Linked DNA regions of Anolis sagrei. The protein of the gene in region 1 interacts with the protein of each later gene in a pairwise test. Links are inferred from orthologs where the notes say so. Each region holds a gene or a part of one and is shown in the gene's direction. Other genes may lie near its edges. The genes, in order: SH3GLB1, ARFIP2, SYP and HTATIP2.

Region 1 (7,580 bases):
ATTATTATTATTATTATTATTATTATTTCTTACCCACCTCTCCCCATGGCTCGAGGTGGGTCACAGCACAGTTAAAAACACAAAAATACTATAAGAATTCTACAAACACACATTAAAATTCAGTTCCATAAAAGATACAGATCAAAGCATTTCTGTAAAATACACATTTATCACACAGGACAGAGACCAAAACACATGACATGAGTTTAAAACTCATGCTTAAAGACTGTTTGGGTAGACCTGATGGAAGGGATAGGTATTTACATGGTTTTTAATTTTCGACATCTGATCTAGCTGTCGGACCTCTATCGGAAGGTCGTTCCACCATTGGGGTGGCCGATAAAAAGTCCTCTGGGTGATGGTTGCTAGTCGGGTTCTGGCTGTTTGGAACAGATGCTCCCCAGAGGACCTCATTGTGTGGGGCGGATTGTACAAAACAAGGCGATCCTGTAGGTAACCTGGACCCAAACCATGTAGGGCTTTAAAGATCAAAACCAACACCTTGTACTTTGTCCAGAAACTAACCTTCTGGACTGGTCAAAGTAGTTAATGTGGATTATCTGTTTTGTTAATCTGGATTATATGGCAGTGTAGAAGGCTACTTAATCAAGGAATACACAAAAGTAGTTTTGCCAGGTCCTTCCCCTGAAATATAACCTGTGCATTCATAATGGTGGCCTTCTATCCAAGCACTAATCAGGGATGCATCTACATTGCAGAATTAGTGTAACTTGACACTAGTTTATCTCCCATGCTCAATGCTATGGAATCGTGGGACTTGCAGATTTAAAAGATTTTAGCCTTCTCTGCAAATAGTGCTGATACCTCCCCAAACTACACCTCCCATAATTACATAGCATTGAGCCATGGCAGTTAAAGTGGATTCAAGCTGCATTAATTCTGCAATGTAGCTGCACACCAAGATAGACTCTGTTTACTTCCAAGATCTGTCATGATCTCATGCCATTAGGGTATTCAGGCTCTTGGAATAAACAGTAACTGTGAAATTAGTGCCCTTATAAACTGTGAAGGTATGTTCATATGACCACCGTGCATGACGCTTCAAATATAAAATTGCTCAATGGCTTTAATTCAGAATGGATTTTTTTCATGTCAGGAGTGACTAGAGAATGGATGCATTAAAGTGATGCCTTAGCCAACTCTAATTGTTTGGATTATTTTCAGTTGTTGCTGCCTAAGGATACTGAAATGGTTCTTGCAAAATTCCTGTAACCACCTGGTTTCTGAACATTGCCCAATATCACTATTGCATCATGCCAAGAGAGACCACCTGAACTGAGGACTGGTTGAGAAGGAAAGATTAATCCAGAAAAATAAGTTTGTGGAAACTGTACAACATTTTGAGGTTTTGTTGTTGCTGAAAATTCATTGCCACAAGTGAGAAAAGGGTGTAAGAGTGGTCCACTTCTTTCGCCGGGGGGTGGGGGGGGGGGTGTTAATCCGGTAAACACAACAGTGGAATTTGAGATAGCTATTGTTGATTTTGACTTTTTCATTATTTGAGTTCCACTAGAATTATAATAACATTTATTCAACAAAAGTTACAGTGCACTGATTTGTAATCTATCCATCAGTGTGGCCTTACTGGAATAAAAATGGCCCACCATTATTTTTATTACTTCATTCCTAAATACCCACTGGTATACAAAATTGCTACATTGGTTCTGATGTACTTATGAAACACTCTGGCGGTGACTATTGAGAAATATTTATCCTCAGAGCCCTCAAACATTTACAGTGCAGCTCATTGCACCACTAAGAATGAACATTAACATCCTGACAAGGAATGAACAAGATGTGTCATATGCCTCAAAGGTCTGCAATAAGCCAATGTTGGAGTAGGGCAAAGAAATGGAGCACTCATCCAACAGAAATTCCTTAGTCATTCTGACAGTGTGTGCATATCCGTCACAAAAAGCCCTGAAACCACACAGGATACTGAATGTTGTCTACCTGGTACTTAAAGGTAAAGGTTTTCCCCTGACATTAAGTCTAATCGTGTCCAACTCTGGGAGTTGGTGCGCATCTCAATTACTAAGCCAAAAAGCCAGTGTTGTCCATAGACACCTCCAGGGCTATGTGGCCAGCATGGCTGCATGGTACATACTAAGACCTGGTACTTATTGGTAAATATAACAATAGGACTGTTCGTCAACCAAAACTTGATACAGCAATAATTTTTGGCAGAAAACAACAGAAATCCTTTTATCAATTTATTTGAGTATAAGGCCCATTGAATTCACAAGGATTTATAGAGTATATGGAATGTTCATCTGTTCCTTCACACTGGGCATTAAAAAGTTAAATTACTACTGGTCATGGTACTCTGAACCCTAGAAGGGCTGATACAGAGACACAAACATTTTACAATTAAACTATTGATTGTTATAGTGCAGAAGATGTCTGTTTTGACATTATAGTTGTTTCATGAACTAGTAGAGCTGCAATATGAATCAGAGTGTGCATTTACCACAAGCATCTTTGATACTTGCAGGGCAGTAGAACAACATCTGCCACTCACTCCATTTCCTGAAATCTTTTGCAATTATGATATAGCATGAGACCCTTGCAACGGATTAGAGGAGGCCTAGAACCCCACAAAATGAAGGTGGAGATAACAGTCCCTGCTCAGACCCACCTCACTGCTCATTCGGGCAGCAACAGAAATCAGCAAGAGTGGCCCTTCTCTCAGGCCCAAGAAGGTTTGATGGAAACAGGAGAAAGGGCCTTCTCAGTGGCTGCCAAAGAGTATGCACCTCCCTTCCCATAGCTGTATATTCATTAAGTCACTTTGAACGACAATTTTGAGAGTAAGGTGGAATAGTTATGTTCATATTTGTAAGAAGAGTTTCAACTCCTGCTTGAAAAAAAGCCACACTGCTCCTCAAAGTCCTTGCTTTCTAAAATGAAACCCATCAACTGTTTTGAAGCAGTGAGCAATTAGCCATTTGTTCGTAGATGGCCACTGGTTCTATAGAAGTTTCAGAACTGGAGATCCCTGATGATCCTAAAACTAGGTAGTATGACAGCAACTCCTATGCCAATCTCTTCACCTGGAAAATAATCCTGGCACCCAAACCAAAATCCCACATTCAAGAGCATACAGGAAGCACTAACTTGAATGAACTCTAGTCTGAAAAGATGCTGTTTTTGTTGTTGTGTAATGAAAGGCATTGACCAAGGCATTGACATTTCCGACTCATCCTCTGTTTGGATATCAGCCAGCAAGCCAACGTATTGGATGAAGAAATGGCTTCCTATGATATACAGAGATACTCGCAGGAACACCTCAGCAAGTGAGAGTCCAAAGGTGGCAGGCTATAACCCAGAACAGTGGCTGAGACCAGATGAGAGACTCCCTCCACTGATGACTGAGAGACTTGGAAGGCGCTGAACAGACTGCTTTCTGGCACCACGAGATGCAGAGCAAAGCTTCAGAAATGGGGCTACAAAGTGGAGTCCATGACACGCGAGTGTGGAGAAAAGCAAACCACAGACCACCTATTACAATGCAACCTGAGCCCATGCACAATGGAAGGCCTTCTTATAGCAACACCAGAGGCACTCCAAGTGGCCAGCTTCTGGTCAAAGAACATTTAGTATAATGGCAAATCTTTAAGTATAATGTCTAGTATGGAATACATCACACCAAAAAAGTGGCTGTAGTTCTTAATGAGACATGCCGCATTATCACAGGATGTCTATGCCCTACACCACTGGATAAATTAAATAGTTTAGCCAGCATCGCACCACCTGACATCCACCAGGAAGTAGCTGCCAGCAATGAAAGGACCAAGAGACATCTTTAGCCCATCCTTTGTTCGGATACCAGCCAGCACACCAACGCCTTAATCAAGAAACAGCTTCCTAAAATCTACAAAGATACTCGCAGGAACACTTTTGGGCTCTCAGCAAGCAAGAGTCCAAAAGTGGCAGGCTAAAACTGGGAACCCCAATCAGTGGCTGAGACTGCTCAAATTGCTTCTGACATTGTGTGCCTTGAAGTCATCACTGATCCTGGGATTTTCTTCATGGACTAAGGCCCCTTTTCCACATCCACACAGCTGAATAAAACCCCACATTATCTGCTTTGAAATGGAATATATGGCAGTGAGGTCTCAGATCACCCAGTTCAAAGCAGAGCTTGTGGGGTTTTCTGCGTTGATATTCTGGGTTATTATATGGCTGTGTGAAAGGGCCCAAATCCATATATTCCAGTTGAAAGCAGAAAATGTGGGCAGTGGGAACTCAACTCAGATCACCCAGCTCAAAGCAGGCCTTGTGAGATTTTCGGCCTTGATATTCTGAGTTCTATGGCTGTGAGTTCTACTATAAGGCCCTGAGTGGGGATTCGAACCCGTATCTAGTCGTGTCTCCCAGCGCTGAAGTCTCGGGCAACGCCCTCCCAGAGTACAGCGCATCGGGGTTTGCGCCCAGCGCGGCTGCCTCTTCCTTCCTCTTGTGCCCGCCCACCAGCCAGTTCCGCCCAATCAGCGGCCGCTTTCGGGGCCTGCCCTTCCTCTCTCTTGTGCCCGCCCACCCGCCGGCTCCACCCAATCAGCGGCGGCGTCAGAGCGCCCGGCCGGGCCCGGCAGCGCCCGACGCCACCCTTTTGGCCACAGCTTTGGCCGGCCGCTTCTGAGGGGGTGGGGAGGGGGAAGGAAGCGAGGTGGCGGCAGGCGGGCGCCGCCGCCTAAGAAGAAGAAGGAGGAGGAGGAGGAGGAGGCGGCAACAACACCCCCATTCCTGGATGAGCGAAGGAAAATGAACATTATGGACTTCAATGTGAAGAAGCTGGCGGCCGACGCCGGCACCTTCCTCAGCCGCGCTGTGCAGGTAGGCCTGACAGCTCTCCTCCACAGCCAGCCTGCCTGCCTGCCTGCTGAGGGGCGTTGGCCGGGCCGTTGCTGGGCGCGCGGCCCTTGTTTGGCTCGTGCGCGCGCGCGCGCCCTTTGGCAGACAAACACGGCGCGCGCGAGGGAGGGGGCGGCCATTTCTTGAGGGAGGGTCTCGAGGCAGGCGTCTCACCAGGCCCGGATGTGGCCCTTTCCCCTCCCCCCCCCCCCTCGGAGTTCTTCGGGGACTTTATGAGGCTCAGCTGTCCTCTCTTGCCCCCCCCCCCCCCGCCCTGGGCCTTTTAAGAGGCGGCCAGCCGTCTGCCCTGGCGGCGGAGAGTTGGACTGACCTGGTCGCAGCTGTTCTCCAGGCCTCCCGTGTCCCTAAGGGCTTAGGCCAGACTTGGCTTGCCGCCCCTCCTTCATACTTGCCTTATCTGTATAGGGACACACCATTTTGTAAAGAGTCCTAAGGTGGGCCCTGTTTAGCATTTTCTTCGCTTGCTAAATATGCAGATTTTCCTTTTACGTGATCATAGAATTATAGAATTGGAAGAGACCCCAAGGGTCATCCAGTCCAACCCCTTGCTGTGCAGAAACACAATCAGAATACTCCCAACAGATGGTCATTCAGCCTCTGCTTAAACAGCTCCAGAGAAGGAGACTCCACCATGCTTCTAGGCAGCAAATAATAATAATAATAATAATAATAATTCAGACTGAGTTTTGGAGCACAATACTCCTGACCTCACAATCGTGTTAAAAAACAAAGTATGGATGGTCAATGTTGCAATCCCAGGCAACAGCAGGATTGAAGAGAAACAACTGGAAAAGCTGACACGATATGAGGATTTAAAGATTGAAATGCAAAGACTCTGGCACAAGCCAGTCAAGGTGGTCCCAGTTGTGATCAGCACACTGGATGCAGTGCCTAAAGACCTTGGTCTGCACTTAAACACAATTGGTGCTGACAAGATTATCATCTGCCAGCTGCAGAAGGCCACTTTACTGGAATCCTCACGCATTATTCTCTGATACATCACACAGTCCTAGACACTTGGGAAGTGTCCAACATGTGATCCAATACAACAGCCAGCAGAGTGTCTGCTGTGGACTCAACTTGTTGTGTTTCAAATAATAATAATAATAATAATAATAATAATAATAAGGGCCTGAGTGGGGATTCGAACCCGTGTTGTGTCTCTGAGTCCAATACCCAAACCACTACACCACGTAAGGGTAATAATAAGATTAAAGACCTTGGTCTGCACTTAAACACAATTGGTGCTGACAAAATTACCACCTGTCAGCTGCAAAAGGCCACCCTAGTGGGATCTGCATGCATTATTTGCTGATACATCATACAGTCCTAGACACTTGGGAAGTGTCTGACGTGTGATCCAATACAACAGCCAGCAGAGTGACTTTGTTTGCTGTGTATTAATCTTTTTGTATTTCAAATAATAATAATAAAAATAACAGCTTCATTTTTATACTCTCTGCCCCAGAGTGTGGTGGAGGCTCCTTCTTTGGAAGCTTTTAAACAGAGGCTGGATGGCCATCTGTCAGGGGTGATTTGAATGCAACATTCCTGCTTCTTGGCAGAATGGGGTTGGACTGGATGGCCCATGAGGTCTCTTCCAACTCTTTGATTCTATGATTCTATACCTCCGCCTCCATGTCCCCAAAGGGACTCAGAGCAGCTTACATGGGACCAAGCCCAACAGAACAGTTAAAACATAACACATTAAATAGTATATAAAATGAACATCAAACCAACAACCAACAGCAAAGTTCAGAGTCTTGTCATGGGTGGGCGGACTGGTGCCACAACATTAGAAAATAGAGCTAATGAGTAAAGTGCAAATATCATGTAGCAGCAATGAGAATAAGAACGATTTACTATTAAGGATTTGGATATAACACATTGCACTGTCAGACAGCTCTTACCATCATGAAATTCTTCTTAATGTTTAGGTGGAATCATGTTTCTTTCCATTTGAATCCATTAGTCCGTGTCCTAGGCAACAGAAACATGCTTGCCCCCTCCCCAGGCCCCTTTCACACAGCTGAATAAAATACACATTGTCTGCTTTGAACTTGGATATATGGCAGCGTGGACTCAGATAGACCAGGGCTCTTCCACACAGCCCTATATCCCAGAATATCAAGGCAGGAACTCCCATAATATCTGCTTTGAATTGGTTTATCTGAGTCCACGCTGCCATACGTCCCAGTTCAAAGCAGATATTGTGGAATTTTCTGCTTTGATATTCTGGGTTATATGGCTGTGTGGAAGGGCCCTCAGTATGACCTCCTTTTACATATTTAAACCTGGCTCTCATGTCCCCTCACAGCCTTCTTTTCTCCAAGCTAAACATACACAGCTCTCTCCTGGCTTCCAGACCTTTGACCATTTTGGTCGCTCTTCTCTGGACACATTCCAGCTTGTCAATAGCCTTCATGAATTGTGGTGCCCAGAACTAGATACTTGTCATTCCAGGTGAGATCTAAGCTGAGCAGAATATAGTGGGTCTAAGACTTCTTTCAATCCCATGTGCCTTCAAGCCATTTCAGACCTATCACTGGGGTTTTCTTGGAAGGACTTATAAAATTATTTACAGACAGTACACATACCGCACATATCACATACAATACAATGTATAAGACAACCCTCTTGCTCACATCCTACACAAAGTTGGCCCCAATTCCACTCACCTGTGC
Region 2 (7,536 bases), on another chromosome or scaffold:
ATAATACTTCATTTGTAAACCGCAGTCTCTCCCCATGGGGACTCAGATCTGTTCAACTGTGGAACTCTCTGCAGTGGAGTGGAGTCTCCTTCCAGAAGAGGGCTAGACGGAAGACTGACAGCAATCCAGTGAGAGCCTTCCTTTGACAACACAATAATAATAACAATACTATATTTCTAGACCGCCCTCTCTCTTTATAGGAACTCAGAGCTGTTCAGCAGTGGAACTCTCTGCAGTGGAGTGAATTGGAGTCTCCTTCTGGAAGAGGTCCAGACGGAAGACTCACAGCAACCCAGTGATTCCGGTCATGAGAGCCTTCCTTTGACAACACAATAATAATAACAACAATACTTTGTTTCTAGACCGCCCTCTCTCTTTATAGGGACTCAGAGCTGTTCAGAAGTGGAACTCTCTGCAGTGGATTGCCGTAAGTTTCATGAAAGCTTTCGACAACCAATAATAATAATAATAATAATCCTTCATTTGTAGACCGCCTTCTCTCCCCATAGGGACTGAAGAGCTGTTCAACTGTGGAACTCTCTGCAGTGGAGTTGATTGGAGTCTCCTTCCGGAAGAGGTCCAGACGGAAGACTCATAGCAACCCAGTGATTCCGGCCATGAGAGCCTTCCTTTGACAACACAATAATAATAACAATGTTTCTAGACCACCCTCTCTCTTTATAGGGACTCAGAGCTGTTCAACTGTGGAACTCTCTGAAGTGGAGTGGATTGGAGTCTCCTTCTGGACGAGATCCAGACGAAAGACTCACAGCAACCCAGTGATTCCGGCCATGAGAGCCTTCCTTTGACAACACAATAATAATGAAATACTTTATTTCTAGACCGCTCTCTCTCTTTATAGGGACTCAGAGCTGTTCAACTGTGGAACTCTATGCAGTGGAGTGGACTGGAGTCTCCTTCCGAAAGAGGACCAGACGGAAGACTCATAGCAACCCAGTGAGAGCCTTCCTTTGACAACACAATAATAATAATACTTTGTTTCTAGACCGCCCTCTTTATAGGGGCTCAGAGCTGTTCAACTGTGGAACTCTCTGCAGTGGAGTGTACTGGAGTCTCCTTCCGGAAGAGGACCAGACTGAAGACTCACAGCAACCTAGTGATTCCAGTCATGAAAGCTTTCGACAACCCAATAATAATAATAATACTTCATTTGTAAACCGCTGTCTCTCCCCATGGGGACTCAGAGTTGTTCAACTGTGGGACTCTCTGCAGTGGAGCGGACTAGAGTCTCCTTCCAGAAGAGGGCCAGACGGAAGACTCACAGCAACCCAGTGAGAGCCTTCCTTTGACAACACAATAATAATAACAATACATTGTTCCTAGACCGCCCTCTCTTTTATAGGGGCTCGGAACCGTTCAGCAGTGGAACTCTCTGCAGTGGATTGCCATAAGTTTTCCGGGGCTGTGTGTCCACGTTCCAGGAGCATTCTATGCATGTATGTCAGGCATCCTCAGAGGTGGAATGATGTCCAGGATGGTGGAAAGAAAATCTTCTCCCAGGCAGCAGGCAGCCAGATCTTGAAGTTGCAAGGCCATTAAACGCTAATCAAGCTGACCTCACAACCTCTGAGGATGCCTGCCATAGATGTGGGCAAAAGAAAATCTTCTCCCAGGCAGCAGGCAGCCAGACCTTGAAGTTGCAAGGCCATTAAACGCTAATCAAGCTGAATTCACTATCTCTGTGCATGTGGGCAAAACGTCAGGAGAGAGTGCTTCTGGAACACAGCCAGGAAAGCCTACAACGAGCCACTGCTGTACACAATGCCCTCTGCACATGCTCAGGGCCCCCCTGGCCTTGCTTTACCCTTCTCTGGCGCGGGAGACTCCATGGCTGCTGAGGAGGAGAGTGAGCGTTGCCAGGGGCGTTGCTAAGGAAGCCTAACGTCCCCCCTCCCGCCCTTCCGGAAGTCCGCTCTAGCCGTGCAGAGGATGTCCCTCCCCTTTGGGTGAGCTCAACCAATGAGGAGGCTTGGAGGAGGAAAAGGCGTTTGTATTTGAGTAAGGGCATTGCTTCAGTCCCCACTTCCGGGCGTGGGAGGCTCCTCCCCTTCCGGCTTGGCGGGCCCGCCCTCCTGCAGGCGGCGCTGGACCAAGACTGGCATGAGGCGCACGTAGGCCGAGATCAGGCGCTGATTGGAGCGGACCAGCTTCCCCGCGCAGCCCTCCAGGCACGCCTCCTGCCATAGAGAGAGAGGGAAAGAGAGGCACCGCTGGGATCAGAATGGCGGAAGAAGCCACAGGAAGTGGTTTTCCCCCGCACTTCCGGCGCCTTTTGCCCTCACCTCGCTCCCGTCTAGGCCTCGCTGGAGTAATCCCGGGACGCAGCGCCGGAAGCAGAGCTCCGTCATCCGGTTGTAGACCAGCAGGAAGTCCCGCAGCTGGAACAGGAAGGAGACAGATAAGACGTTTGGACTACAACTCCCACAATCCCCAAGTGTTAGGAAAGCAAGGCCTAGCTCAGGCCTTCCAGGCACTTTGGACTACAACTCCCACAATCCCCCAGTTTTGGGAAAGCTAATCCCTCTCTCAGAGCCCAGCTGGGCCCTCCAGGCGCTTTGGACTACAACTCCCACAATTCCCGACTGTTAGGAAAGCAAATTCCTCTCTCAGAGCCTAGCTAGGGCCCTCCAAGTGCTTTGGACTACAACTCCCACAATTCCTAAGTGTTAGGGAAGCAAAGATCTCTTTCAGAGCCGAGCTTGGGCGCTCCAGGCGCTTTGGACTACAACTCCCACAATCCCCAAGTGTTAGGGAAGCAAAGCCTAGCTTGGGCCCTCCAGGCGCTTTGGACTGCAACTCCCACAATCCCCAAGTGTTAGGAAAGCAAAGATCTCTTTCAGAGCCTGGCTTGGGCCCTCCAGGCGCTTTGGACTACAACTCCCACAATCCCCAAGTGTTAGGGAAGCAAAGCCTAGCTTGGGCCCTCCAGGCGCTTTGGACTGCAACTCCCACAATCCCCAAGTGTTAGGAAAGCAAAGATCTCTTTCAGAGCCTGGCTTGGGCCCTCCAGGCGCTTTGGACTACAACTCCCACAATTCCCAAGTGTTAGGGAAGCAAAGATCTCTTTCAGAGCCTAGCTCGGGCCCTCCAGGCGCTTTGGACTACAACTCCCACAATCCCCAAGTGTTAGGGAAGCAAAGCCTAGCTTGGGCCCTCCAGGCGCTTTGGACTACAACTCCCACAATTCCCAAGTGTTAGGGAAGCAAAGATCTCTTTCAGAGCCTAGCTTGGGCCCTCCAGGCGCTTTGGACTACAACTCCCACAATCCCCAAGTGTTAGGGAAGCAAAGCCTAGCTTGGCCCCTCCAGGCGCTTTGGACTACAACTCCCACAATCCCCAAGAGTTAGGGAAGCAAAGATCTTTTTCAGAGCCTAGCTTGGGCCCTCCAGGCGCTTTGGACTACAACTCCCACAATTCCCAAGTGTTAGGGAAGCAAAGATCTCTTTCAGAGCCTAGCTCGGGCCCTCCAGGCGCTTTGGACTACAACTCCCACAATCCCCAAGTGTTAGGGAAGCAAAGCCTAGCTTGGGCCCTCCAGGCGCTTTGGACTACAACTCCCACAATCCCCAAGAGTTAGGGAAGCAAAGATCTCTTTCAGAGCCTAGCTTGGGCCCTTCAGGCGCTTTGGACTACAACTCCCACAATCCCCAAGTGTTAGGGAAGCAAAGCCTAGCTTGGGCCCTCCAGGCGCTTTGGACTACAACTCCCACAATCCCCAAGAGTTAGGGAAGCAAAGATCTCTTTCAGAGCCTAGCTTGGGCCCTTCAGGCGCTTTGGACTACAACTCCCACAATGCCCAAGTGTTGGGGAAGCAAAGCCTAGCTAGGGCCCTCCAGGCGCTTTGGACTACAACTCCCACAATGCCCAAGCGTTAGGGAAGCAAGGCCTAGCTTGGGCCCTCCAGGCGCTTTGGACTACAACTCCCACAATCCCCAAGCGTTAGGAAAGCAAAGATCTCTTTCAGAGCCTAGCTTGGGCCCTCCAGGCGCTTTGGACTACAACTCCCACAATCCCTAAGCGTTAGGAAAGCAAAGATCTCTTTCAGAGCCTAGCTTGGCCCCTCCAGGCGCTTTGGACTACAACTCCCACAATCCCCAAGTGTTAGGAAAGCCAAGCCCTCTCTCAGAGCCTAGCTTGGGCCCTCTAAGCGCTTTGGACTACAACTCCCACAATTCCAGAGTGTTAGGAAAGCAAAGATCTCCTTCAGAGCCTAGCTTGGGCCCTCCAGGCGCTTTGGACTACAACTCCCACAATGCCCAAGCGTTAGGGAAGCAAGGCCTAGCTTGGGCCCTCCAGGCGCTTTGGACTACAACTCCCACAATTCCTAACAGCCGTCCCGGCTGTTAGGAATTGTGGGAGTTGTAGTCCAAAGCGCCTGGAGGGAAGGATGGGAAGCCCCGCCCCCTTGTTTGGGAAGACTCACGCTGCGCAGTTGCTGCTGCTGCTCGCTCTCCGCCATCCTGCGTCACTTCCGCTTTGCTTCCCCCTTGACTCCTTCCTTCCTTCCTCTCTCTCCCCCCGACCCTGGGGCCGCCGTGACGTCGCTTCCGGTCCTCCCGGGGGCCCAAGGCGGCGGAGGAGGAGGAGGAGGAAGGCGACGTGGCCCCAGTTCCGGGAGAGAGGGAGGGAAGGAAGAGGGAGGGGCCTAGAGCGCACCTGTGCACCTGGGAGGCAGGTACACAAGCTCACCTGTCCCCCTCCTGCTCCTCGTCCAGGATGACGGAGGGGCTGATGAGCAAGGCGGCCACCATGGAGGTCCCCATCCACGGCAACGGAGACTCCCGGCGGATGGGACCCTCCACCACCTCCGAGGATGATGGCCTCGAGCAGGTGCATTGAGGGAGGGGCTCACCTGGAGAGGGTGGGTGGGGGTGGGGTGGGGTAGCAGGGGAATTGAGGCAGGGGCTCACCTGGGGAGATTGGGTGGGTGAGGGGTGAGGTGGGGTGAGGGTCCCTCAGAAGATGATGGCCTCGAGCAGGTGAATTGAGGGAGGGGCTCACCTGGAGAGGTTAGGTGGGTGGGGAGTGGGGTAGCAGGGGAATGGAGGGAGGGGCTCACCTGGAGAGGTTGGGTTGGTAGGGGGTGGGGTAGCAGGTGAATTGAGGGGGGGACTTACCTGGGGAGATTGGGTGGGGGGGTGGGGGGCGGTCGAGCAGGTAAATTGAGGGAGGGGCTTACCTGGGAGGTTGGGTGGGTGGGATGGGGAGAGGTCAAGCAGGGACCCGTATTACTCGTAGTAATAATATTATTATTGGTGTTGTGGTGGTGCTTGAGTAGCAGGCAAAATGTCAGGAAGAAATGCTGCCAGGCCACAGCCCTACAACCTGGATAAGCACACAACTGAGGGAGGGGCTTACCTGGGAGGTTGGGTGTGGGGGGGGTGGGGAGGGGTCAAGCAGGGACCCGTATTACTCTCAGTAATAGTATTATTATTGGTGTTGTGGTGGTGCTCGAATAGCAGGTGAAATGTCAGGAGGAAATGCTGCCAGACCACAGCCCTTACCTGGGGAGATTGGATGGGGGCTGGGGGTGGGGGTGGGGGTGGGGAGGGGTCAAGCAGGGTCCCTTATTACCATTAATAGTATTATTATTATTGGTGTTGTGGTGGTGCTCAAATAACAGGCGAAATGTCAGGAGGAAATGCTGCCAGGCCACAGCCCTACAACCTGGATAAGCACACAATTGAGGGAGGGGCTTACCTGGGGAGATTGGGTGGGGGGTGGTGGGGGTCCCTCAGATGATGATGACCTCGAGCAGGTGAATTGAAGGAGGGGCTTACCTGGGGAGGTTGGGTGGGTGGGGGGTGGGGAGGGGTCAAGCAGGGACCCGTATGACTCGTAGTAATGATATTATTATTGGTGTTGTGGTGGTGCTCGAACAGCAGGTGAAATGTCAGGAGGAAATGCTGCCAGACCACAGCCCTACAACCTGGATAAGCACACAAGTGAGGGAGGGGCTTACCTGGGGAGATTGGGGGTGGGGAGGGGTCAAGCAGGGTCCCTTATTACTCATAGTCATAATATTATTATTGTAATATTATAATATTATAATATTATTATTGGTGTTGTGGTGGTGCTTGAATAGCAGGCGAAATGTCAGGAGGAAATGGTGCCAGACCACAGCCCTACAACCTGGATAAGCACACAAGAGAGCCGTCATTCCAGCCGTGAAAGCTTTCCACAATACATTATTATTATTATCATTATCATTATTATTATTATTAGAAACATAACAAGATGAGTCCACAGCAGACACTCTGCTGGCTGTTGCATTGGATCCCATGTCGGACACATTATTATTATTATTATTATTATTATTATTATTATTATTTGAAACACAACAAGATGAGTCCACAGCAGACACTCTGCTGGCTGTTGAATTATTATTATTATTATTATTATTACTGTTATTATTTGAAACACAACAAGATGAGTCCACATGTCAGACACTTCCCAAGTGCCTAGGACTATTATTATTATTATTATTATTATTATTATTATTATTATTAGAAACATAACAAGATGAGTCCACAGCAGACACTCTGCTGGCTGTTGAATTGGATTACACATTGGACACTTATTATTATTATTATTATTATTATTATTATTATTATTATTATTAGAAACACAACAGGATAACACTACAGCAGACAATCTGCTGGCTGTTGTACTGGGTCACACGATGGACACTTATTATTATTATTATTATTATTATTATTATTATTGGACACTTATTATTACCACTCAGAGGATAATGGCCTCGAGCAGGTGAATGGAGGGAGGGGCTTACCTGGGGAGATTGGGTGGGGGGTGGGGGTGGGGAGGGGTTAAGCAGGGACCCTTATTACTTTTAATAATATTATTATTATTATTGGTGTTGTGGTGGTGCTCGAATAGCAGGTGAAATGTCAGGAGGAAATGCAGCCAAACCACAGCCATAATTATTATTATTATTTTACTGACACAAAACCACAATATGTCACAGCAAACAAGATCTCTGTGCTAGGTTTCATATCACAAAATCATAAGTCGATCCCTTTCCTAAGTGTCTATTTATTTGTCGTTTCACGGCAAGCAAACTGCATTGAGTCGCCTTTTTGGGCTGAAAAATGCGGTATAGAAATAAAGCAAATAAATAAATAAAATAAATAAGCAGTCAATTATATTATATTTCTAACAGAACAAAGCAAACAAACAGACAAAACACAGAATTTGTGAGTTTGGTAGTTGGTTAAATGTCCTTTGAGCAGTCTCTGGCCACTTGGAGTGCCTCTGGTGTTACTATAAGAAGATCCTCCCTGGTGCATGTGGCAGGGGGTCAGTGGTTTGCTCTTCTCCGCACTCGCATGTCGAGGATTCCACTTTGTAGCCCCATTTCTGAAGGTTGGCTCTGCATCTCGTGGTGCCAGAGCACAGTCTGTTCAGCGCCCTCCAAGTCGCCCAGTCTTCCATGTGCCCAGGGGGGAGTCTCTCATTTGGTATCAGCCATTGGTTGAAGTTCTGGGTTTGAGCCTG
Region 3 (7,848 bases), on another chromosome or scaffold:
ATCTATATATATATATATATATATATATATATATATATATATATATATATATGCTTTGTGCATAATGAGTACCTTAAAAACAAAAGAACCAATGAACGAAATCACACCAAATTTGGCAACAAAACGTCTCACAAAACAAGGAGTGACCATCACTCAAAAAATTATGATTTTGTCATTTGGGAGTTGTAGTTGCTGGGATTTATAGTTCACCTATAATCAAAAAGCATTCTGAACTCCACCAACTATGGAATTGAACCAAACTTGACACACAGAATTCCCATGACCAACAGAAAATATTGGGTTTTGGTGGGCATTGACTTTGAGTTTTGGAGTTGTAGTACTCTTAGCTGTCTTTTTCTCCATTTTATAGCTCCTCTCCCTTTTGTTTTGCCTTCAAAAAGGAATGGTTTTACCCCTTGCTCTCCTCTCTGTGTTGTTTCCCTTTTGTTAAATGTTAGACTGGAAGTGTCCTGGAGGCCAGAGAGCTTTTTCATTGCTCTCATGACCCAAAGCCTCAGGCACACTCAGATGGAGTTATATACAGCTGGCCCTCCCTATCCACGGATTCCTCATCCAATAATTCAACCATCCAGAGCTTGGAATATATTTTTAAAAAAGAATTCCAAAAGAGAAATACTAATTTTATTTGTATTGTCGAAGGGTTTCATGGCCGGAATCACTCGGTTCTTGTGGGTTTTTTTCGGGCTATAGGGCCATGTTCTAGAGGCATTTCTCCTGACGTTTCGCCTGCATCTATGGCAAGCATCCTCAGAGGTAGTGAGATCTGTCCTAATTCCAACAGACCTCACTACCTCTGAGGATGCTTGCCACAGATGCAGGCGAAACGTCAGGAGAAATGCCTCTAGAACATGGCCCTATAGCCCGAAAAAACCCACAAGAACCGACTAATTTTATTTATTTATTTATTTATTTGCTATATTTGTATACCACCCTTCTCAGCCCTCAGGAGACTCAGGGTGGTTTATAGAGGCAACAATTCGATGTCCAAGAACATCATAAAATATTTCAAACACTAATACATAGTTCCAAGCTCCTATGTTTTTTTCATTGCATTTTCAAATGCTTACTCAAACAGCCAAGTCTTGACTCTTTCCCAGAATGTTAAGAGGGAGGGGGCCAATCTAATGTCCCTAGGAAGGGCGTTCCATAGCTGAGGGGCCACCAAATGGCTGATACCAAATGAGAGACTCCCCCCTGGGCACACAGAAAACTGGGCTACTTGGAAGGCGCTGAACAGACTGCGCTCTGGCACCACGAGATGCAGAGCCAACCTTAGGAAATGGGGCTACAAAGTGGAATCCACGACATGCGAGTGTGGAGAAGAGAAAATTACAGACCACCTACTACAATGCAACCTGAGCCCTGCTACATGCACCATGGAGGACCTTCTTATAGTAACACCAGAGGTACTCCAAGTGGCCAGCTACCGGTCAAAGGACATTTAATCAACTACCAAGCTAGCAAACTTTGTGTTTTGTCTGTCTGTCTGTCTGTTTGTTTGTTTGTTTTGTTAAAAATGTAATACAACTGTCTGGTTTCTCCTGACACGATAAATAGTTATTGTGTCAGGGCAACCAGTCAATTATATTACATTTCTAACATAACAAAGCAAACAAACAGACAAAATACAAAATTTGTGAGCTTGGTTGTTGATTAAATGTCCTTTGACCAGTATCTGGCCACTTGGAGTGCCTCTGGTATTGCTGCAAGAAGGTCCTCCATTGTGCATGTGGCAGGGCTCAGGTTGCGTTGCAGTAGGTGGTCTGTGGTTTGCTCTTCTCCACACTTGCATGTCGAGGATTCCACTTTGTAGCCCCATTTCTTAAGGTTGGCTCTGCATCTCGTGGTGCCAGAGCGCAGTCTGTTCAGCGCCTTCCAAGTCGCCCAGTCCTCTTTGTGCCCAGGGGGGAGTCTCTCATTTGGTATCAGCCATTGGTTGAGGTTCTGGGTTTGAGCCTGCCACTTTTGGACTCTCGCTTGCTGAGGTGTTCCAGCGAGTGTCTCTGTAGATCTTAGAAAACTATTTCTTGATTTAAGTCGTTGACATGCTGGCTGATACCCAAACAAGGGATGGGCTGGAGATGTCGCTGCCTTGGTCCTTTCACTATTGGCTGCTACTTCCCGGCGGATGTCAGGTGGTGCGATACCGTTTAAGCAGTGTGATTTCTCCAGTGGTGTAGGGCGCAGACACCCCGTGATAATGCGGCATGTCTCATTAAGAGCCACATCCACTGTTTTAGTGTGGTGAGATGTGTTCCACACTGGGCATGCATACTCAGCAGCAGAGCAGCACAGCGCAAGGGCAGTTGTCTTCACTGTGTCTGGTTGTGATCCCTAGGTTTCGTATGATGTTGTTTGTAGCACCCACTTTTTGCTTGATGTTTTGGCTGATGAGATGGTATTGTTATTGTTGTTGTGTGCTTTCAAGTTGTTTCAGACTTAGGTTGACCCTGAGCGAGAACCGGGTAAATTACATTGGAGGGCCGTATTCGGCCCTGGGCCTTAGTTTGAGGACCCCTCCTCTAGACCATGGCCATATAGCCTGAAAAAACCTACAACAACCCAATTATTGTTATTAATTATTAGGTTCTTGTAGGTTTTTTCGGGCTATAGGGCGATGTTCTAGGAGCATTTCTCCTGACGTTTCGCCTGCATCTATGGCAAGCATCCTCAGAGGTAGTGAGGTCTGTTGGAAATAGGAAAATGGGTTTATATATCTGTGGAATGACTGGGGTGGGGCAAAGAGCTCTCTGCTGAAGCTAGGTGTGAATGTTTCAGCTGAACCCTTCATTAGCATTTGAAGACCTGGCTGATCCTGGGAAAATGTTCTGTTGAGAGGTGTTAAGATGTGCCTGGTTGTTTCCTCTCTGCTGTTTAGCTGTAGTAATTTTAGAGTTTTTTAATACTGGTAGCCAGATTTTGTTCATTTTCATGGTTTCCTCCTTTCTGTTGAAATTGTCCACATGCTTGTGGATTTCAATGGCTTCTCTGTGTAGTCTGACATGGTGGTTGTGAGAGTGGTCCAGCATTTCTGTGTTCTCAAACAATATGCTGTGTCCAGGTTGGTTCATCAGGTGCTCTGCTATGGCTGACTTCTCTGGTTGCAGTAGTCTGCAGTGCCTTTCATGTTCCTTGATGCGTGTCTGGGCAATGCTGCGTTTGGTGGTCCCTATGTAGACTTGTCCACAGCTGCATGGTATACGGTAGACTCCTGCCATGAAAGCCTTTGACACTACATTATTAATTATTGTAGTTGTTGTTCATTCGTTCAGTCGTCTCCGACTCTTCGTGACTTCATGGACCAGTCCACGCCAGAGCTCCCTGTCTGCGTCACCACCCCCAGTTCCTTCAAGGTCAGTCCAGTCACTTCAAGGATGCCATCCATCCATCTTGCCCTTGGTCGGCCCCTCTTCCTTTTGCCTTCCACTTTCCCCAGCATAATTGTCTTCTCTAGGCTTTGCTGTCTCCTCATGATGTGGCCAAAGTACTTCAACTTTGTCTCTAGTATCCTTCCCTCCAGTGAGCAGTCGGGCTTTGTTTCCTGGAGGATGGACTGGTTGGATCTTCTCGCGGTCCAAGGCACTCTCAGAACTTTCCTCCAACACCACAGCTCAAAAGCATCGATCTTCCTTCGCTCAGCCTTCCCTAAGGTCCAGCTCTCACATCCGTAGGTGACTACAGCGAATACCATGGCTTTGATTAGGCGGATCTTTGTTGCCAGTCTGATGTCTCTACTCTTTACTATTTTATCGAGACTGGACATTGCTCTCCTCCCAAGAAGTAAGCGTCTTCTGATTTCCTGGTCACAGTCTGCATCGGCAGTAATCTTTGCACCTAGAAATACAAAGCCAGTCACGGCCTCCACGTTTTCTCCCTCTATTTCCCAGTTGTCAATCATTCTTGTTGCCATAATCTTGGTTTTTGTGATGTTTAGCTGCAACCCGGCTTTTGCGCTTTCTTCTTTCTCCTTGATTAGAAGGCTCCTCAGCTCCTCCTCGCTTTCGGCCATCAGAGTGGCCGAAACTTATTATTATTAATTATTACCCGGCTTACCTCTCCGAACGCATCTCCACCTATGAACCGATGAGGATGTTAAGATCGTCCGGGGAGGCCCTGCTCTTGGTCCCGCCTGCATCGCAGGCGCGACTGGCGGGGACGAGGGACAGGGCCTTCTCGGTGGTGGCCCCTCAGCTATGGAATGCCCTACCCGTAGACATCAGGCAGGCCCCTTCGTTGCTGGAGTTCCGGAGGAAGGTCAAGACGTGGCTCTATGAACAGGCGTTTGGTCAACATGGCAATTGAACTCATGAAGACGGTATAAATGAACAAGGAATGGTAGAAGGATTACGAGAACGGAATCTGATTTTTACTGAGGCGTTGATGACTATGTTGTGTTGTTGTGTTGTTTGTATTGTCCGCTGTGTATACTGTGTTTTTAACTAATTGTATTGTAATAAACTGCATTGTAAACCGCATTGAGTCGCCGAATTAGGCTGAAAAATGCAGTATAAAAATAAAGCAAATAAATAAATAAATAAATTATTAATTATTATTATTATTATTACAGTTATTTTGGCATAGTAAAATGGCACCCCTCATATGGCCCAATGAGAGGGTGCTTTTAGAAATTCTGTGAGTTTGATTCCTTCAGCCTTGCCAATGCCCCCAACCAAGCCAAGCCTCCATTTCCCATCCCTGCGCCCATGAAGAACATGGCTCCTGTTTGGCTTCAGTGACGTCACCCCTGAGCTCTTCCAGCATCCCCCCTCCACTGTTTCCCTCTCTCTCTCTTCCCCCCTCCTCCTCCCTTGGCCCCGCCCTCCGAGGCTGTTCCAGATAAAGGGCTCCTCCTCCCGCCGGTCCCAACCTCCCCTGCGCTCTGCTGCGTCGCCCTCGCTTTTTCCCCAAGCAAAGATGGAAGTCGTCAATCAGGTAAGCGGCGGAGGGTTTCAGCACCAGGGACAGCTCCCCAAGGCGCCTTGCTTGCGGATGGGGGGGGGGGGGGAGAATGGAGGGAGTGTTGCGGAAATCCCACTTCACCTTCATCCTTTGCCCCCCCCTTTCCCATAAACCCCCACTATCCTCCTCCTCCCTGCAATAATAATCCCTGCAGAGATTTATCCTGAGAGCAGAACAATGCCTCCCTCTGCTTCTCCTTGTGGGGAGGGGGGGGGGGTCAGATCTAGGGAAGGATCTGCAGCCAAGCAAAGGCATTCTGTTCTCTTATGACATTGCTGCAGTAGGCATTGGGGGGGGGGGATTAGGAAGAGGGGTGCCTTGGATACAGAGCAAATAAATAAAAGAGATGGAGCTGGATTTTCTTCCCCATCCTTCCTTTGGAAATGATGATTTGAAAGAGGAATCTTATTTACTAAATATGGGGGGGTTTGAGCTGGAATATTTTGCCGCAGATGGGTTGGAAGAAGCCAAAATGGCTGGGGCGATGCAGTAAAGCTACGCCACGGCTGGCCCGCATTTGGGGAGCCAAAGGAGGAGGGACTGACTGACAGCCTGACTGGGATGCCCATGTAAACAGATGGGCACAGGGCGGGCAATGATATCCCTGCCCTGAGGCTAGTCAATAATACCCCCAGGCAGGTAGAAAATGCCGTATGGAGAAGAGCAGAGGGATCTGTAGTATGCAAGATGGATTCGTCATCATAATGCTAGCTGGGGACTGGGGAAGAAGAGGACTCAACATCGTAATTAATTCTGGAAGGCGAGGATGGAAGGATCTGAATCTAAGCTGCTCGTCGCAACCAAACTCATCACCATCCTTGTTGTTGAAGACATTGTGTCCTTGTATTGTCGAAGGTTTTCATGGCTGGAATCAATAGGTTCTTGTGGGTTTTTTGGGGCTATAAGGCTATGTTCTAGAGGCATTTTCTCCTGACGTTTCGCCTGCATCTATGGCAAGCATCCTCAGAGGTAGTGAGGCTGCTTGCCATAGATGCAGGTGAAACGTCAGGAGAAAATGCCTCTAGAACATAGCCTTATAGCCCCAAAAAACCCCACAAGAACCCATTGTGTCCTTACTGTTATGAGTGTGGCAGGGGATTCCCATCCAGGCATTTTCTCCTGACATTTCGCCTGCATCTATGGCAAGCATCCTCAGAGGTAGTGAGGATGCTTGCCATAGATGCAGGCGAAACGTCAGGAGAAAATGCCTCTAGAACATGGCCATATAGCCCAAAAAAACCCACAAGAACCCATTGTGTCCTTACTGTTATGAGTGTGGCAGGGGCTTCCCATCCAGGCATTTTCTCCTGACGTTTCACCTGCATCTATGGCAAGCATCCTCAGAGGTAGTGAGGATGCTTACCATAGATGCAGGCGAAACGTCAGGAGAAAATGCCTCTAGAACATGGCCATATAGCCCAAAAAAACCCACAAGAAGCCATTGTGTCCTTACTGTTATGAGTGTGGCAGGGGCTTCCCATCCATGTCTCAATATGGAGGGTAGAGGCACCAGATGGTGGGAGAAGGCATCAATATGGCCACAGAGGAACTTCAAGGCAAACGAAGGGATGGTGTCAGGCTTGCTTCAATGTTGTTTTGATAATAACTCTCCATAAACAAACAAACAAAGCCAAGGAAGGGATGGAGTAGAGTGGTGACATGCCATATCGGCATTGGGAGGCAAGCAAGGATGATGATGATGAGAAGGAGGAGAAGGAGGAGGAGATGATGCCTCAGGGGCGTCTTCTTGTCTCTGATCCCTGGAGCAATTGCAGCAGGATGCATTGCGGGAAGGAAGCAAAAAAAAGGGGGGGAGGGATTTATGGGGTGTCGCTGTGGAAGGTGGGGGTTGCTCCTCACTCCCGAAAGCAGCTGGCCTGGAGGAGGAGGAGGTGGTGGCGCAATGTCGTGTAATTTTAGCACAGAAGATGGAGCAAATGTTCCAGGAAGGTGGAAGAAAGTCCAGATGGAGCCTTCGGAAAGCACAGAGTTGGATGCGGAGGATTGTGTGCCGGCCTTGGTGTGCCTCAGAGGAAATAGAGCCTCTGAAGAGGCCTGGAGTGACCTGAGGGCCATGAGTAAAGAGATTTAATCAGGATTTGCAAGGGAGAGAACGTCCAGAAATCTATAGAGTTGTCGCAAGTGCTCTAAGATCTATATCAAGCACCACTTGGAAGGGAAAAGGTTTGGATCCTGGGGTTGTGAAACATTTGAAGAAATGCTACGGGATTTCATTGGATTAATGTATTGTCGAAGGCTTTCATGGCTGGAATCAATAGGTTCTTGTGGGTTTTTTCGGGCTATATGACCATGTTCTAGAGGTATTTTCTCCTGACGTTTCACCTGCATCTATGGCAAGCATCCTCAGAGGTAGTCTGGAGAAACGTCAGGAGAAAATGCTTCTAGAACATGGCCATATAGCCCGAAAAAACCCACAAGAAGCTATTTCATTGGATTGTCTTTTTTCTCCCCATAACTCAGTCTTTAGGAGGTTTGCTAAGAAATAAGCCCTCTTTCCAGATTTTCCTCTGTAGAATTGCAGCTTCCCCTCTCTCTCCCTTTAGAAATTTTGAGAAATAACAGGATAAGGAATGGATCTGATGTGAAATTATCTTTGGGCAGTGAATGATATAGGAGCCCCCGTGGCGCAGTGGGTTAAATAAACCCCTATGCCAGCAGGAGCGAAGACCGACAGGTCGCAGGTTCGAATCCGGGGAGAGCGTGGATGAGCTCCCTCTGTCAGCTCCAGCTACTCATGCAGGAACATGTGAGAAGCCTCCCACAAGGATGGTAAAACATCAAAACATCCGGGCGTCCCCTGGGGAACGTCCTTGCAGACGGCCAATTCTCTCACACCAGATGCAACTT
Region 4 (7,258 bases), on another chromosome or scaffold:
CATTGGTCTGTTTCCATTGCAGGAAGGACCACTTTACACATTGCTTCAGCAACAGGAATCCCATCATTACCAGAACAGTCAGGAATAACTCCAGTGATATGAAACATTGGTCAGAACAGACATTTCTTTACAAGTAAACTTGCTGACCTATAAACATTTGTCAACATTTGTCAACAGTAGTAGATGATAGATATAGGTTAAAGATGAGAAAGGACTTAATAAAGGGGAGTTATGAAACAGTTTGCCTACAGGAAAATGACTGAACAATTTAAGATTGATAAAAAAAACCCAGGTTGGAAACATTTAAATCAGAGTTTGTAAACTTACTGTGCCCAGCTGATGACTATGTTGTTGTTCATTCGTTCAGTCATTTCCGACTCTTCGTGACCTCATGGACCAGCCCACGCCAGAGCTCCCTGTCAGCCGTCACCACCCCCAACTCCTTCAAGGTCAATCCAGTCACTTCAAGGATCCCATCCATCCATCTTGCCCTTGGTCAGCCCCTCTTCCCTTTACCTTCCACTTTCCCCAGCATCATTGTCTTCTCTGGGCTTTGCTGTCTCCTCATGATGTGGCCAAAGTACTTCAACTTTGCCTCTTCTATCCTTCTCTCCAATGAGCAGTCGGGCTTTATTTCCTGGAGGATGGACTGGTTGGATCTTCTCACAGTCCAAGGCACTCTCAGAACTTTCCTCCAGCACCACAGCTCAAAAGCATCGATCTTCCTTCACTCAGCCTTCCCTAAGGTCCAGCTCTCACATCCGTAGGTTACTACAGGGAATACCATGGCTTTGACTAGGCGGATCTTTGTTGCCAGTCTGATGTCTCTACTCTTCACTATTTTATTGAGATTGGACATTGCTCTCCTCCCAAGAAGTAAGCGTCTTCTGATTTCCTGGCCACAGTCTGCATCTGCAGTAATCTTTGCACCTAGAAATACAAAGTCTGTCACGGCCTCCACATTTTCTCCCTCTATTTTCCAATTGTCAATCATTTTTGTTGCCATAATCTTGGTTTTTTATGTTTAACTGCAACCCAGCTTTTGCGCTTTCTTCTTTCACCTTGATTAGAAGGCTCCTCAGCTCCTCCTCGCTTTCGGCCATCAGAGTGGTGTCATCTGCATATCTGAGGTTGTTAATGTTTCTTCCAGCAATTTTCACCCCAGCTTTGCATTCATCCAGCCCCGCACATCGCATGATGTGTTCTGCATACAAGTTAAAAAGGTTGGGTGAGAGTCTGCAGCCTTGCCGTACGCCTTTCCCAATCTTGAACCAGTCTGTTGTTCCGTGGTCAGTTCTTACTGTTGCTACTTGGTCCTTGTACAGATCTTGATTAGCCACAAGAATATGCAGTGGGTTCTTGATTCAACTGAATATATTTCTAATTTCAACAAACGATATAAGGAATATACCAGCAGTGTGCTACACATTGCCTAGTTTCCAAAATGAGATGGGATCTGGTCCCTTTATAGCAGTGTTTCTCAACCTTCCTAATGGCGTGACCCCTTAATACAGTTCCTTATGTTGTGGTGTCCCCCAACCATACCATTGTTTTCATTGCTACTTCATAACTGTAGTTTTGCTACTGTTATGAATCGTAATGTAAATATAGGATAAGCAGGATGTATTTTCATTCACTGGACCAAACTGGGCACAAATATCCGATAAGCTCAAATCTGAATACTAGTGGGGTTGGGGAGGGGGGTGATTTTGTCATTTGGGAGTTGTAGTTACTGGGATTTATAGTTCACCTACAATCAAAAGCATTCTAAATCTCCAACAATGATGGAATAGAACCAAAAGTGGCACACAGCACTCCCATGACCAACAGAAAATACAGGAAGGGTTTGATGGGCACTGACCTTGAGTTTGGGAGTTGTAGTTCACCTACATCCAAAGAGTAGTGTAGATTCAAACAATGATGGATCTGGGCCAAATTTGGGATGGATACTCAAGATGGCCAAATGTGAATTCTGGTGGAGTTTGTGGAAAATAGACCTGGACATTTGGGAGTTGTAGTTGCTGGGAGTTATAGTTCACCTACAATTAAAGAGCATTCTGAACCCCACCAACCAGAGACCCCCATGACCAACAGAGAATACTGTTTTCTGATGGTCTTTGGTGACCCCTAAGCCACCTCCTCATGACCACCCAAGGGGTCCCGACCCCCAGGTTGAGAAACACTGCTTTATAGGATATTGGGGCCCTTATGGGTACCATGTAGATCTATATGTGTGTCTAACTTACTTACTTACTTACTTAAGCGATCCCTCGTAGTCCGAGGATGATGGTCCTCCAAGTGTAGTATCCTAAATCCAGACAAGACAGAGGTAATCCTGGTCAGTTGTAAGTCCGAAAAGGGCATAGGGTTACAGCCCATGCTTGACGGGGTTACACTCCCCCTGAAGGCGCAGGTTTGCAGCTTGGGACTGATCCTGGACTCATCGTTGAGCCTGGAACCCCAGGTCTCAGTGGTGGCCGGGAGAGCTTTTGCACAGTTAAAACTTGTGTGCCAGCTGCGCCCGTACCTTGGGAAGTCTGACTTGGCCATGGTGGTCCACACTCTGGTTACATTCCGTATAGATTACTGCAACGCTCTCTATGTGGGGTTGCCCCTGAAGATTGCCCGGAAGCTGCAATTAGTCCCGCGCTCGGCAGCCAGGCTACTGATGGGAGCTGGGTACAGGGAGCGCACAACTCTGTTGCGCCAGCTCCACTGGCTGCCAATTAGCTTCTGAATGTTATAAGTGTATTATTTTAACTTACTATGTGGAGTGTGATCAAGTCTTGTCAGGCCTTGTTGTTCTGTTTCTTATTGTGATATGGCCTAAGGGCTAATCAATACAATTACTACTACTAGCTTCCGAGTACAATTCAAAGTGCTGGTTTTAACCTATAAATCCCTATACGGTTCCGGCCCAGTTTACCTGTCCGAACGTATTTATTTATTTATTTAGAGGTTTTCTATTCCGGCCTTCTCAACCTCGACGAGGGACTCAGGTCGGTTTACAGCATATATAAAGTACAATCATATAAAAACCACAGGTATTAAAATAGTACAACACAGTACAATAAAAACATCATTATCATTACATCATTACATCATTACAGTTTCCTACACCAAATCGTCAATCCAGTCAGTCATAGTCATGTTCGTGGTCACAGTTCATCATAATTCATCATAGGGAAGGTTCTAGGTTCAGTCCTCGAATGCCACATTCCAGAGCCAGGTTTTTAGTGATTTCCTGAACGTCAGGAGGGAGGGGGCAGATCTAACCTCTAGTGGGAGGGAGTTCCAAAGCCAGGGAGCCACCACCGAGAAGGCCCTGTCTCTCATCCCCACCAACCGTGACTGTGAGGGTGGTGGGACCGAGAGGAGGGCCTCCCCCGGAAGATCTTAATAGCCTCGGTGGTTCATAGGGGAGAATCCGTTCGGAAAGGTAAACTGGGCCAGAGCCGTTTAGGGCTTTATAGGTCAAAACCAGCACTTTGAATTGTGCCCGGAAGCTGATCGACAGCCAGTGGAGCTGGCGTAACAGAGGGGTCGTATTCTCCCCTATGAACCATCAAGGACGTTAAGATCTCCCACCATCTTCGCAAGTGCATTTGGTGGGGACGAGAGACAGGGCCTTCTTTGTGGTGGCCCCTCGGCTATGGAACTCTCTCCTGAGCGAGATCAGATCTGCCCCCTCCCTCTCGTCCTTCAGGAGGCTAGTGAAATCCTGGTTATGGAATGAAGCATTCCCAGAATAATGTCTGAGACTGGTTACAGACCAAAGTGAGTGACCACATATGCGGACTGAGTTGAACATGATTTTACCTTGGTGATTTGGTATATATGTATTTTAATCTTGTATTGTTGTATTATGTTTTAACTTGTATTAGTAGCATTGAATTCTTGCTGTAAACCGGTCTGAGTCCCTCTACAGAGGTGAGAAAATCGGGATATAAAAGTTTTCAATAAATAATAAATAAATACCCTGGCTCTATGTGTGTATTCAGTTTACTCTTATGGTAACTCCATAAATTTCATAGTTTTCTTAAGCAAAAGAACACTGTGAGATGACTTTGCAAGTTCTTTCTTTGCAATGCGGGGGCAGAATACAAAGAGATGGAAAAAAAACAACAATATACTGTTGCAGTTTCCTCCCAGGCTCGCCCTTCATTGCAACATAATTTTAATCTCTGGATCACTGCTGAGCAAACCTCCCTCCTGCAAAGGAAAACAAAGTTCTGCAATCTGCGCCTGCGCAGTGAGTCCAGGCAGGCACACCCGGAAGAAGAGTGGGCGACTCTTTCTTGGTAGGAGACTCTCCACTGTTGTTGCAGGTGAGGCTTTCCTTCCTCTCCCCCCTTTACTCCAGGGGGATCTGCAGTTTCCCTTTCTCCTCCTGCTTGCCTACTCCTTTAATTAATGCTTCCCCATCCCTGAGTGCATCTACACTGTAGAATTAATGCAGTTTGACTCCCCTTTAACTGTCATGGATCAAGGCCATGGAATTTGTAGTTTGATGAGGCATCAGCTTTCTCAGGCAGAGAAGGATCAAGACCTTGCAGAACTACCACTCCCAGGATTCCATAGCATTAAGACATGGCAATTAAAGTGGGGTCAAATTGCATAATAATGCATTAATGGAATTTGTAGTTTGGTGAGGCATCAGCCTTCTCAGGCAGAGGAGGGACAAGACCTTGCAGAACTACCACTCCCAGGATTCCATGGCATTGAGGCATGGCAGTTAAAGTGAGTTCAAATTGCATAATATTGCATTAATGGAATTTGTAGTTTGGTGAGGCACCAGCCTTCTTAGGCAGAGAAGGGTTGAGACCTTGCAGAACTACCACTCCCAAGATTCCATAGCATTAAGACATGGCAATTAAAGTGGGGTCAAATTGCATAATATTGCATTAATGGAATTTGTAGTTTGGTGAGGCACCAGCCTTCTTAGGCAGAGAAGGGTCAAGACCTTGTAGAACTACCACTCCCAAGATTCCATAGCATTAAGACATGGCAATTAAAGTGGTTAAATTGCATTAATTCTACATATTTAATTAATTCTATTATTTTTAATTAATTCATAATACTAATATTGTGCTATGCTAATAATATAATATGTTGTATGTACATATCATATTGATCATAATATTGTAATACAATATAATAATACTACTAATAAAAATATAATATTGTACCTATTGATCTACTCACATTTGCATGTTTTCGAACTGCTAGGTTGGCAGAAATAGGACAATATAGTAATATAGTACTATATAATACTAATATTGGGCTCTGCTGATAATATAATACATTGTACACACATATAATATTGATAATATTATAATGTAATACAATATAATACTCCTCATCGTTGTATCAGGAGCAACCGCTCCTGTTGTGAGAGAATTGGCCGTCTGCAAGGACGTTGCCCAGGGGACGTCTGGATGATTTTTGATGTTTTATCATCCTTGTGGGAGGCTTCTCTCATGTCCCCGCATGAGGAGCTGGAGCTGATAGAAGGAGCTCATCCGCCTCTCCCCGGATTCGAACCTGCGACCTGTCGGTCTTCAGTCCTGCCGGCACAGTGCTTTAACCCACAGTGCAATAACCCACTTATTATTACATGTAATATTACTAATAATATTGTGGTATAGTGGTATAGTACAATATAGTAATATATAATACTAATATTGTGCTGTGCTGATAATAAAATATATTATATACACATATAATATTGATAATGTTATAATGTAATACAATATAATAATAATAAGAATACAATGTAATAATTATATATTTCATATTACATGTAATATTACATGGTATAGTACAATAGAGTAATGTATAATACTAATATTGTGCTGTTCTAATAATATAATATATTGTATACACATATAATATTATAATGTAATACAATATAATAATACTACTAATAAAATATAATAATTATATATTTCATATTACATGTAATATTACATGGTATAGTACAATAGAGTAATGTATAATACTAATATTGTGCTGTTCTAATATATTGTATACACATATAATATTACAATGTAATACAATATAATACTAAAAATAATACAATATAATAATTATATATTTCATATTACATGTAATATTACTAATAACATTGCAGTATAGTGGTATAGTACAATATAGTAATATATAATACCAATATTGTGCTGTTCTAATAATGTTCTAATAATATAATATATTGTATACACATAGAATATTATAATGTAACACAACATAATACTAATAATAATTCAATGTAATAACTATATATTTCATATTGCATGTAATATTACTAATAATATTGCAGTATAGTGGTATAGTACAATATAGTAATATATAATACTAATATTGTGCTATGCTAATAATATTATATATTGTAAGTACATATAACTTGTAAGCTGCTCTGAGTCCCTTTCGGGGTGAGAAAGGTGAGATATAAATGTTGTAAGTAAATAAATAAATAATGCAGTGTAGATGTGTCCAAGCAAGGTTTGAAACAACTGGGGCTGATTGTGATAGTTGCCTCTATGAGGTTAGTGGTCTCTCCTATTGAACAGAAGGGAGTGAGCAGGCTATCCTATATTTTCCTTTGTGGTTACATTGAACAATTAGTCCAGAACTTCATGGATACCAAAATCCATGGAGGCTCAAGTCCCATTGTGTTCAAAAGCATAGTAAAAGGGTAGATTGTCCCTTGTTTAAAGTGGGAAGATCAAAGATTGCTTTTAGGGATTTATTTTATTTTATTTTCAAGGTGGAATCCGTGGATGCAGAATCCGTGGATATGGAGGGCCGGCTGTACAATCTAAGCAAAGCCTTGAAAGGCGTCCTGCGGCTGGGAGGACCTCTGGAAAGGGCTGTGCATGGCCAATCATGTCTACAGTATCCAGCAGTATTCCTTAGGTGCCTTGGAAATGTAGAATAGCCCAGTTCAGACTGTTTCCAATTGCCCAGTAAGGAAGCACCATAGAAATGAATGGTGCCTGGATATGAATAAACATGCCTAGGGTCACAATTTTAGCCTAACACAGGACGCATGTCCACATCTACTCTGAAGTATATTGAACTCCCACTAGGTCCATCAAAGGCGCATCTGCATTGTGCAATGACTACAGCTTGACGCCTCTTTAACTGCCATGTGCTATGGAATCCCGGGAGTTGTAGTTTGATGAAACACCAACACTGTGGCAGGCTAATGACCTTGTAAAATTGCAGCTCCCATAATATTGAGCTATGACAGTTAAAG

The links.
Region 2: the proteins of SH3GLB1 (region 1) and ARFIP2 interact in binary tests that used the Homo sapiens proteins (3 or more experiments, as listed by UniProt). The link is inferred for Anolis sagrei from reciprocal best matches to the Homo sapiens genes SH3GLB1 and ARFIP2.
Region 3: the proteins of SH3GLB1 (region 1) and SYP interact in binary tests that used the Homo sapiens proteins (3 or more experiments, as listed by UniProt). The link is inferred for Anolis sagrei from reciprocal best matches to the Homo sapiens genes SH3GLB1 and SYP.
Region 4: the proteins of SH3GLB1 (region 1) and HTATIP2 interact in binary tests that used the Homo sapiens proteins (3 or more experiments, as listed by UniProt). The link is inferred for Anolis sagrei from reciprocal best matches to the Homo sapiens genes SH3GLB1 and HTATIP2.

What each region holds. Positions count from the first base shown.
Region 1 is NC_090024.1:153,435,373-153,442,952, reverse strand, and holds the start of SH3GLB1 (endophilin-B1), read left to right. Parts: upstream 1-4,578; 5' UTR 4,579-4,785; coding exon 4,786-4,857; intron 4,858-7,580. UniProt on the Homo sapiens protein: May be required for normal outer mitochondrial membrane dynamics. Required for coatomer-mediated retrograde transport in certain cells. May recruit other proteins to membranes with high curvature. May promote membrane fusion.
Region 2 is NC_090023.1:1,134,015-1,141,550, forward strand, and holds the start of ARFIP2 (arfaptin-2), read left to right. Parts: upstream 1-4,526; 5' UTR 4,527-4,737; coding exon 4,738-4,851; intron 4,852-4,988; exon of another isoform or gene 4,989-5,000; intron 5,001-6,770; exon of another isoform or gene 6,771-6,789; intron 6,790-7,536. Other genes in the region: DNHD1 (dynein heavy chain domain-containing protein 1), read right to left, coding at 1,826-1,850; TIMM10B (mitochondrial import inner membrane translocase subunit Tim10 B), read right to left, coding at 2,034-2,198, 2,304-2,399, 4,445-4,480. UniProt on the Homo sapiens protein: Plays a role in constitutive metalloproteinase (MMP) secretion from the trans Golgi network. May have important functions during vesicle biogenesis at certain cargo subdomains, which could be predominantly utilized by secreted MMPs, such as MMP7 and MMP2.
Region 3 is NC_090022.1:175,468,099-175,475,946, forward strand, and holds the start of SYP (synaptophysin), read left to right. Parts: upstream 1-4,841; 5' UTR 4,842-4,935; coding exon 4,936-4,953; intron 4,954-7,848.
Region 4 is NC_090022.1:179,284,440-179,291,697, forward strand, and holds the start of HTATIP2 (oxidoreductase HTATIP2), read left to right. Parts: upstream 1-4,242; 5' UTR 4,243-4,328; intron 4,329-6,766; 5' UTR 6,767-6,796; coding exon 6,797-6,915; intron 6,916-7,258. UniProt on the Homo sapiens protein: Represses translation by preventing reactivation of elongation factor eEF1A. May also inhibit nuclear import by competing with nuclear import substrates for binding to a subset of nuclear transport receptors.